Callithrix jacchus: one gene and its partners. The protein of the gene in region 1 purifies or fractionates together with the protein of each later gene. This does not show direct contact. Links are inferred from orthologs where the notes say so. Each region holds a gene or a part of one and is shown in the gene's direction. Other genes may lie near its edges.

The links.
Region 2: the proteins of MTX2 (region 1) and IMMT purify together in Homo sapiens (co-immunoprecipitation; 5 studies listed by BioGRID and IntAct, counting the BioPlex papers as one, with this or other methods). This does not show direct contact. The link is inferred for Callithrix jacchus from reciprocal best matches to the Homo sapiens genes MTX2 and IMMT.
Region 3: the proteins of MTX2 (region 1) and CHCHD6 purify together in Homo sapiens (co-immunoprecipitation; 3 studies listed by BioGRID and IntAct, counting the BioPlex papers as one, with this or other methods). This does not show direct contact. The link is inferred for Callithrix jacchus from reciprocal best matches to the Homo sapiens genes MTX2 and CHCHD6.

Annotation. Positions count from the first base shown.
Region 1 is NC_133507.1:53,072,408-53,075,263, reverse strand, and holds the end of MTX2 (metaxin-2), read left to right. Parts: intron 1-1,774; coding exon 1,775-1,946; 3' UTR 1,947-2,222; downstream 2,223-2,856. UniProt on the Homo sapiens protein: Involved in transport of proteins into the mitochondrion.
Region 2 is NC_133515.1:26,833,109-26,836,765, forward strand, and holds part of IMMT (MICOS complex subunit MIC60), read left to right. Parts: intron 1-1,560; coding exon 1,561-1,697; intron 1,698-3,657. UniProt on the Homo sapiens protein: Component of the MICOS complex, a large protein complex of the mitochondrial inner membrane that plays crucial roles in the maintenance of crista junctions, inner membrane architecture, and formation of contact sites to the outer membrane.
Region 3 is NC_133516.1:76,623,142-76,626,798, reverse strand, and holds part of CHCHD6 (MICOS complex subunit MIC25), read left to right. Parts: intron 1-293; coding exon 294-363; intron 364-2,778; coding exon 2,779-2,923; intron 2,924-3,657. UniProt on the Homo sapiens protein: Component of the MICOS complex, a large protein complex of the mitochondrial inner membrane that plays crucial roles in the maintenance of crista junctions, inner membrane architecture, and formation of contact sites to the outer membrane.

The DNA of each region.
Region 1 (2,856 bases):
GAGTCAGTGGCATCAAGATGGTATTTAAAACCGTGGATCTCTAGGAGATTATTTATCAGTAGGGATCAAGGCCACATAGTTCATAAGTGATAGTATTGGGATTGGGATTCAACTTTGGATTTTTACCAACCCCCAAATTTATTCTACCAAACCAGATTTCTACAGCATATTTTTACATTTATGTAGGCTAGCACATTTTCTCAAAAACTTTATCACAATGGGACTCAGAGTATTAATTAGCTCATAATTATGATGGCACTTTCTTGTTTTAGTAATATTGCATTAGTAATTATTTTAATATAATGTAGATTGGTGATGCCCTACTTGTAGATCATTAGTAGTGGGATAAATTTTATTTTGTTGTATATAGTATATAATTAAAGAGAAAAAAAAACCCTAGAAATTATTATGTTGAAGCCATCCTTATGATTTTGTCTCCTTCAGAAATCTAAGTCACTTTAAATGTGGTAAAATTGAAGTTATATTGTGTTGTTGATTTATAATTGGGTATCTTTTTTTGATCCTATCACCACAGTGAAATCTTTTGTGCTTTGACAGCTCTTTGTTTATACATCTATTAAAATACTTAATAATTTTTTTTTGAGATGGATTTTGTTCTTGTTGCCCAGGCTGGAGTGCAATGGCTTGATCTTAGCTTGCCACAGACTCTGCCTCCCAGGTTTAAGTCATCTCCTGCCTCAACCTCCTGAGTAGCTGGGATTACAGGCATGCACCACCATGCCTGGTTAATTTTTTATTTTTTAGAAGAGATGGGGTTTCTCCATGTTGGTCAGGCTGGTCTCCTGACTTCAGGTGATCCGCCTGCCTCAGCCTCCCAAAGTTCTGGGATTACAGGCATGAGCCGCCACACCTGGTCAATAAATTGTGTTTATTAAAACAACTTTATAATTTATGTTTCATGTCCATGAGAGTATTTTTCTTGTTTTTGTGTCTAGCATCTGGTATAGTTTCTGGCACGTTGGAGATCTGTTATGTTTATTTAGTGACTAAAGTAATGAACTAAATGAATATGATCATTACATCTATATTATTTTAACACAAATATTGTTACTAAAGAAAGCAAGTCACACAACTAGCAAATCATATATACATATTTTTTATATAACAGAAACTTTGTTTCTTGTGTGGCTTTTTTCTTTTAAATTGATGAATGAAACGATTTAAAAAAATATATCCACAGAGGTCTTTTAAATATCCACAAGACATTGTTTCTGGGACCCCCACAGATACTAAAATTTGCAGAGTTCAAGTCTGTTATATAAAATGGCATAACTGCTTATGTAAATTTAATGTTATGAGAAAAAATAAAATTGTGCAGTGTTTGCATATAATCTACCTATATCCTCCTGTATATTTTAAGTCATCAGTAGATACACACAATCTCTAAATGCTATGCGGTAGTGTGATCTTAAGCCATCCTCCCACCTCAGCCTCCCAAGTAGCAAGGACTATAGGCATGCACTACCATGCCTGGCTAATTTTTGTAAATATGAGGTTTCACCACATTGTTCAGGTTGATTGTGAACTCCTGAGCTTCAACAGTCTACCCATCTGAGCCTCCCAAAGTGCTGGGATTACAGGCATGAACCATCACATTTGTCCTGTATTGTTCTCTCTAATCTTTTAAAGTATTTTTGATCTGACGTTGGTTGAACCTGCAAGTATGGGACCTGTAGGTGAAGAGGGCCAACTGGATTTTTTAACGTAAGAGTTAATTGCTACTTACTCATGTTACTCTTATTTCTACTTTTAGGCCTACTGAACTTGATGCACTGGTATTTGGCCATCTGTACACCATTCTTACCACACAATTAACAAATGATGAACTTTCTGAAAAGGTGAAAAACTATAGTAACCTCCTTGCTTTCTGTAGGAGAATTGAACAGCACTATTTTGAAGATCGTGGTAAAGACAGACTGTCATAGAGTTATATGTTAGTCTCATTAAGTCTAATTTTTGACATATGTTTTACTTGAATGTTATATTAGATATTGGTATCAGAATTTTAAAACCAAATTACTGTTTTTTGAAACCTCAAAACAAATTATACAATTTATCTTATATATGTGCTTTATATTGTTACTTGTGTACACATTAAAATAATTCTGAATTATTTCATTTGATATATTGTATTCTATGTCTTGAAATTTTTGTTTCCTTGAAACATGCATGCATATAAAAATAAAGCTTAAACAACTGTATGGATGTTACATTTACTTTCTTTTGATTTTTCTGAAAGTCATTCACTGAATTTTACACCTGTAGAATAAACAGTGTCTTTTCTAAGGCAAGTAATTTGTGTTACATACTCCAAGATTCCCTTGCTAGATATATGGTGAAACTGATAATGGGGAAAAATGTTCTTAGCAAGTGTGCTCTTAGAAAATATGGATGGTTTTAAGGTAATTAAATCTTGGTGCAGATTTGACATTTAAGAACATTCTTTATACAGAGACGTAATTGAATTAAAAAACATTTCGTTAGAGCAGCTGTGACTTACATTTGATAAAGGAAACAGTTGAGGGACCATTTTGAGACAAGAACATTTTAATAATACTCTTTTATTCTTTTGTGGGAAAGGGAAGGTAATTTTCACAAAGGTATTGATAGGATTTTTTACGTAAACTCTAAGGATTATATGTTGTGTTCTTTTCCAATTTTCTTACGGTTTATATCGTATAAAACCAGGATGCTCTAAAGAGTCAGATGTAAAAAATTATTTCCTAAAAATATCTAGAATAATAGTACTTTTATATTTTCTTTTTATGTACCAGGGAATTTTAACTCATTTAATCCTTATAAAATAGTATGGCTTTGCAGACACTGCTACCATCC
Region 2 (3,657 bases), on another chromosome or scaffold:
TGATTTGTTTTTTTTTTTTGTATTCTTCTGAGTTCTTGGCTGTGTTACAAATAGTTGAGAATATTTTAAAAATGACTTCTAACTAAGTGAAACGTTTCTTTTTTCTTTTAGTCATATTTTTTTTCTTCACTTTTCACTTGTCTCTCTTTATCATTTATCACATGGGCACCTTGAAATTAAGTTATATTTGTAAGCTGGAGATGTCTGCTATTTCAGCTGTTACTTTCTTTGCCTGGTTCCTCTCATCTTTCATTTTGGACCAAGTGAAAAATTTCAGAATTTTATCTATCACCTCTTAACTTTCTCTCAAATTTGACTTTAAAAATGTACATGCATATGTTTGCATGTGTAACATTTATCAAGGATCAGAATACAGTGACTAGAACTCTGAAGAGGGCTGGAAGCAGCAGGTGCCTTCCAGCAGCCCACTTTCTGTGGACTCCATAAAGTGGTTCATAACTACCTGTAGGTGATGTCTACTGTTCCCTTACGTATGTTGCGGGATCCAAATACCATGGTTTCCCTCCCTTGCCTCCTTCTCTCTTTTTTCCTGCTGCTGTTGTTTCATTTCTTTCACTTCTGTCAATTTACTTTTATTTTCTCCTTATTAGCTTTCTAGCTTTCCTCTTTTATCTTTCTTGCAGAGGTACCGTTTGTAGTTCATCTGATTGTTTGTTTTTGCTAGTTTATGCTGCTTTCGTTCAAAATTATCTTTTTTTCTCATTTGTCAAATGTAGTTTTTATTTTTGTCATATCGTTTATTATTAAATTAGTATTCTCACTAACCTTTCTTCGAATGACCTTTTTTTTTTTTTTTGCATTTTAGTAAATTATCTAAAATTGTTCTTTGCTTTACTTTTTGGTATTCCTGAAACAGCATATAGAAATATGATCTTAATAGGTGGTAGCCTCTCAAACATTGGTGTCTTCTTTTGAGTCCTTTTGTCCTTCTTTAAATAATTTTGAAAAAAAAAAAAAAAAAACACTTTTTATTTTGAAAAAGTTTAGATATACATACAAGAAAAAATTGTGTGGGCCGGGTGCGGTGGCTCACGCCTGTAATCCCAGCACTTTGGGAGGCCGAGGCGGGTGGATCACGAGATCAAGAGATTGAGACCATCCCGGTCAACATGGTGAAACCCCGTCTCTACTAAAAATACAAAAAATTAGCTGGGCATGGTGGCGCATGCCTGTAATCCCAGCTACTCGGGAGGCTGAGGCAGGAGAATTGCCTGAACCCAGGAGGCGGAGGTTGCGGTGAGCCGAGATCACGCCATTGCACTCCAGCCTGGGTAATGAACGAAACTCCGTCTCAAAAACAAAAAAGAAAAAATAGTGTAATAGAGCTTCATAGATTCATCATCCAGACCAAATTGTCAGTATTTTACCATACTTTTAAGTGAAACTTTGATTCCCTAAACTTGAGTCTCATGTATTTTGTCGTTCCTTTTCATATTTTTTGAGAAATACAATGGAAATCTCAATAGGAGAACAGCAAGTTTCCAGTCATTTGTGGGGGTAGGGATTTGTTTTTTAATTGTTCTTTTTTTTTTTTTTAAGCTCTAGCCAAGAGCTTAGAAGATGCTCTGAGGCAAACTGCAAGTGTCACTCTGCAGGCTATTGCAGCTCAGAATGCTGCAGTACAGGCTGTCAATGCACACTCCAACATTTTGAAAGCCGCCATGGACAATTCTGAGGTGAGCCCAATGATTAGAAGCTTTTTGGCTGTCATGACTTGTGGGACAAAAAGAAAAAAAAAGGGGGTTGGAGAGAAGTATAATATTTAATAGACTGCTTTCTTCCCTATGGTATGGACTTTCACTAGGCGAAACAGTCTAGAATAATTATCTTTTTTTGTTATTGTTGTTTTGAGATGGAGTCTTGCTCTGTTGCCCAGGTAGGAGTACAGTGATGCGATCTCAGCACACTGCAGCCTCTACCTCCCAGGTTCAAGCAATTCTCTGCCTCAGCCCCCTGAGTAACTGGGATTACAGGTGCCTGCCACCACACCCAGCTAATTTTTCTATTTTTAGTAGAGACAGTGTTTGCCATTTTGGCCAGATTGGACTCACTGACCTCAAGTGACTTGACTACCTTGGCCTTCCAAAGTGTTGGGATTGTAGGTGTGAGCCACTGTGCCTGGCCTTAGGATAATTATCTTTAAAAAACAAACTAAAAGGCTGAGTGTGGTGGCTCATGCCTATAATCCCAGCACTTTGGGAGGCCAAGGTGGGTGGATCATGAGGTCAGGAGATCTAGACCTTCCTGGCCAACATTATGAAACCCCATCTCTACTAAAAATATAAAAATTAGCTAGGCATGGTGGTGCATGCCTATAATCCCAGCTACTTGGGAGGCTGAGGCAGGAGAATAGCTTGAACCAGGGAGTAGGAGGTTGCAGTGAGCTGAGATCATGCCACTGCACTCCAGCCTGGTGACAGAGTGATACTCTGTCTCAAAAACAAAAAACGAAACAAAAAAAAACTGAAAAGCCTTTAAATTTTTGGAACAAATTTTCTACATTGTGCTTTATTTTATCTTACAATACTGATACAAGAATTAGTTCATATTTACTGTCATATTTTAATAGTGCCTAAACATTTTTGTTGTTTTCTTTAAAATTGCTGTTTCCATAGATGAACTTTTTAAGGTACTTGTCAGTTGACATGCAGTTTTAAGAAATAATTTGGAGAGATCCTGTGTTCCCCGAAACACCAGCTATTTGAAATGTTTATGATTATTTAATTTATGCAGAGCACTTCAAAGAATGAAATAATACTGATTTTTCAGATGTAATACTGGGACTCAATAAATTATTTTTTAATTACATTAAGTTATTCAGTATGTATGAATGTATCTCTATTCCAAGTCACTTAAGGAGTAATATAAAAGTAAAAACATAAAACATAAATATTAAGGATCAGGATCATTCATGATCAGTAAAGTTGCTTTGCCATCATAACTGTAGTTTTTAAAAAAAATTTAAACACACTTTACATAGTTTTAGTTATATGTATATATATTGCAAAAGAGTTTAAATTAGACCTCTGATGTTAGTAGTAAAAAAATACAACATTTGGGGCCGGGCGCGGTGGCTCAAGCCTGTAATCCCAGCACTTTGGGAGGCCAACATGGGTGGATCACGAGGTCAAGAGATCGAGACCATCCTGGTCAACATGGTGAAACCCCGTCTCTACTACAGATACAAAAAATTAGCTGGGCATGGTGGCGCGTGCCTGTAATCCCAGCTACTTGGGAGGCTGAGGCAGGAGAATTGCCTGAACCCAGGAGGTGGAGGTTGCGGTGAGCCAAGATAGCGCCATTGCACTCCAGCCTGGGTAACAAGAGCGAAACTCCGTCTCAAAAAAAAAAAAAAAAAAAAAAATACAACATTTGAAAACTTAAGGAAAATTCCATTTTATTCAAAGTTCAAGAAAAGTGTTTAAATATCAGAGTTCAGTCAGCAAAATGGAAACCACACAGGAAATTTAATTTGCTGGTTACAGATATGGGAAGGCTAGAAGTTGCATGATGTCAGGGTATTGGGTTCAAACCCAAGTAGACCAGTATCTCTCAGAAGGACACAGATTAGAAGCTTTAAATGCCGTGGTGCTACTTGGGTATAAGGCTACATGAGGGGGTATTTCTGCTTCCCGG
Region 3 (3,657 bases), on another chromosome or scaffold:
TGGAACACTGCACTCAAGGGGTTCTGTCTGCAGGCTGCCCAGTGTTGTAGGCATCCTGGTGCAGAGACCCCTTCAGGATAAGAGGTGGCTTGGATCATCTGGCTTTCCAAACAGCTTGAATCAAGGGTGTGTTTCTTGTCTGCCCTTGCGGACGCTCCTTTGTGGGGACGCATCTGTGGCGCTGCCTTCAAGGGACACGTTCACTCATGGGGGTCGTTCCTTTCTGGGTGACATCGTGTCTTCATGAACTCTGGGGTGCCACTGACAGGCCTTTTCTTCTCTTTCTTTTGCAGAATCCACAATGCCCAGGTCAGGGAGCAGTGGTGGCCAGCAGCCCTCAGGGACGAAGGAGGGTGTCAAGAGGTGAGCCCAAGAGCCCACTTGCTCCTGGCACTGTGCTCTGCCTAAAAGCCTCTTTCCTCACTGGGTACCCCTCTCCTTGCCTGAAGCCCTAGAGGGTTTGTCTCACATAATTAATCTCAGTTGCACTGAAGGACAACCCTATGGTATAGGTGTCACTAGTCCTAGTTTAAAGATGAAGAAACAACAAAAGGGCTATATGGGAGTTGATTGCTAATGTTCCTCATGCCCAGTAGTTTGAGAGGCCAGGGCAGGAAGATTGTTTAAGGCCAGGAGTTTGAGAACAGCCTGGACAACATAGCAAGACCCGGTCTCTAAAAGATAAAAAATTGGCTGGGTGTGGTGGTGTGTGCCTGTCTAGTCCCAGTTACTCGGGAGGCTGAGGTGGAAGGATCACTTGAGCCCAGGAAGTCGAGGCTTCAGGGATCTATGATTGCACCACTGAACTCCAGCCTGGGTGACCCTGTCTCTGGAAAAAAAAAAAAGAATCATTTAAAAAATCTAGGACTAAACAGTTGAGAGCCTGGACCTTCTGCATGTGTGTGTGCATGCAGGCGTGTTTTTAGAGAGATGAGGAAGTGGAGCCCTCCCAGTTCTAACTGTGGTTGTCCAGATGAACTGGTTCCAAGATGTTGGTGACTTTCTGTCAGGACAGGCCACAACTCCAAGAGCTGGCCATGCCCCTGAAATGGTACCTGCTTCCTGTCACCAGAGAAGTTTTAGCAAAGTGATTAAGTCACAGAGGCCCCAGTGGAGCACAGGGTGGCATCTTGATCCTGCAACTTACTAGTTAGATGAACTTGAAAAATCACTGCATCTAAGAAGGGCTAAGAAGAGTACTTCTTTAATTGGGATCTGTCATGGTTAAATATGTTAATGTATATCATGCACCTGGGCACAGTGCCTGGCCTACAGAGTTCTCATTGGATGCTCATAGTAGTTGTTACTGATTGACCTCTTCAGGATTCCTGAGGAAATTGGCCTCAGTATGGTCAGAGGACCCAGTAGGTCAGCTTAGGGGGCCCAGTGTCAGCTACAGTTGGGCGTTTGCCCTCTAGTAGTTCAGCCATGTTGGGTCTGTTGCATAGCCATGGGTGAAGACACACACTGTAAGAATTTACCCTCCCTAGGAAGTCTCAGCAAAAATAACTGACCTGGCTGGGTGTGGTAGCTCAATCCTATAATCCCAGTGAATTTAGGAGACTATGAAGGAGGATTTCTTGAACTCAGGAGTTTGAGCCCAGCCTGGGCAACGAAGTGAGACCCTGTCTTGACAAAAAAAAAAAAAAAATTAAAAACATTAACTGGGGGTAGTAACACAAGCCTGTAGTCCCGGATGCTCAGGAGGCTGAGGTAGGAGTATGGCTTGAGCCTGGGAGTTGGAGTTTACAATGAGTTATGATTGCATCACTGCACTCTGGCCTGGGCCACATTATGAGACCCAAAACCAAAAGAAAAGGAAAAGCTAACCACAACCTGAACCCTGCTTTTAAACATTTTAAACATGATAAAGTAATACATTCTAATGAAAGATTTAGAAAATATATAAAGTGAAAAAATCATCCCTAGACTCATCATCTCAACACAACTATTGTTAATATTTTGAAGTATTTCAAGTTCTTTTCCACCTTGCCCCCCACCAGCCCCCCCTGTTTAGGGTTATTTTTGAAAGTCATAGATAATTTCATATCTTGCTATTTTCACTTAGTATTATAATTTTTCATTAGTTTCATCTGCTTTATAAATTGTTTTATTGCTAAAAGCATCATTTATTGGTTCTCAGTTTTTAGATTCAATCTATAGACAAATCAAAGACTATATTTTCTAGTGGTGATGTCATAGCTCATTATATGATCACACCATATTTTCTGTAGCTTGACCTTGATTTGAGGACATTTAGGTTGGTTGCATTTTTTTCACTATAATAAATAATACTGTTAGAGCCTCTCAGCGCTAATAACTTTTTTCCTCTCTATAGGATTATTTTACTAGGCAGAATGCCCAGAAATATGTCAAAGGGTAGGAACAAGAGTTAAATGTTCCAAACAGAGGACTATTACTATCTCAAATCTTCGAGCTCTGGAGCGGAGGCAGTCCTTGGATTGAACCCCTCCCTGAGACCCTCACTGGGCATGGGGCTGCCTAACGTGGCCAGGGCTCCTGTTCCTGAGCTGTGTTGTCCTGGCTCAGTGTCATTGTCATTGTCTCCCCTTGTCTGGGGAGCTGTCATTGATGCCTGAGCTCAGGCGGGGAATGATGGGGTGTGCGGTTCCACAGCACTCTCTCCTTTCCTGTCTGGCTACTGGCTGGTCTCAGTGCTTCCCTGGCGGCTGAAGTGAGTGCGCAGACTTTGTCTTGACTATGGGACTGCCTGTCACGCCATCTGCATCTATTTCTCCTCATCTTTCTTCTGCACAGGTATGAACAGGAACATGCTGCTGTCCAGGATAAACTCTTCCAGGTGGCACAGAAGGAAAGAGAGGCTGCCACCAAGCACTCCAAGGTATCCCTGCCCACAGGTGAAAGCAGCATCAGTCATGAGGAGCAGAAGTCAGTCCGGTTGGTGAGTGCATATTTTCCTCGAACTGGCCTCCCAAGCTGGGCAGCACCCTGGGAAAGAGGGGGCAGGCCTTGGCACCTGGTTTGTCTGATGCCCTGCTGGCTCAGGCTGCCCCTAGGATATGCTCAGCTGTACCTCTGTGGAAAAGGGTCTTTTGGGAGCCAGGAACTTGGGTTCTTCTAGCCCTGGCTCTGTCAGTGATTTGCTTTGGTGCCAGTGTCATGTTTTTGCAATCTCCGTGGCCTAAGGTCTACACGGTAAGGGACTAGAACACTTGACAACCTCATTCAGCTCTGAAACTTCACAGGTGTCAGGGCTGCAGTGGTATGTGTGTCAGGAGGGTGTGAGGGGAGAGGACTGGAGGCCTGGAGCCATGTAATATATGAGAGGGAGGGTATAATCTTTAGAGTTAGGCAGGCTGGGCGCAAATCCTGGACACACTGTCTGTGAGCCTTGCTCAAAGATCATGATGTTCACCCACAGGAGTGCCCAGGGAATCGGAGGAGATAGTATTTGTCCAGGACTTAGCACATGCCAGCAGATCATGGAAGTGCACTATTGTTATTACTACTGTCACTAATACATTTAAGTGATGGGCGGCTATTAGGATCTTTTTGCTTAAGTGCAGCATTTATTTTGCAACATGAGAAGTCTAGAAGTGCCCCCAGGGTTGACTAATTCAGTGGTTCACTGGCATCATCAGGGACCTGGTGCTTCTCTTCCTGCCCTCTGCCATC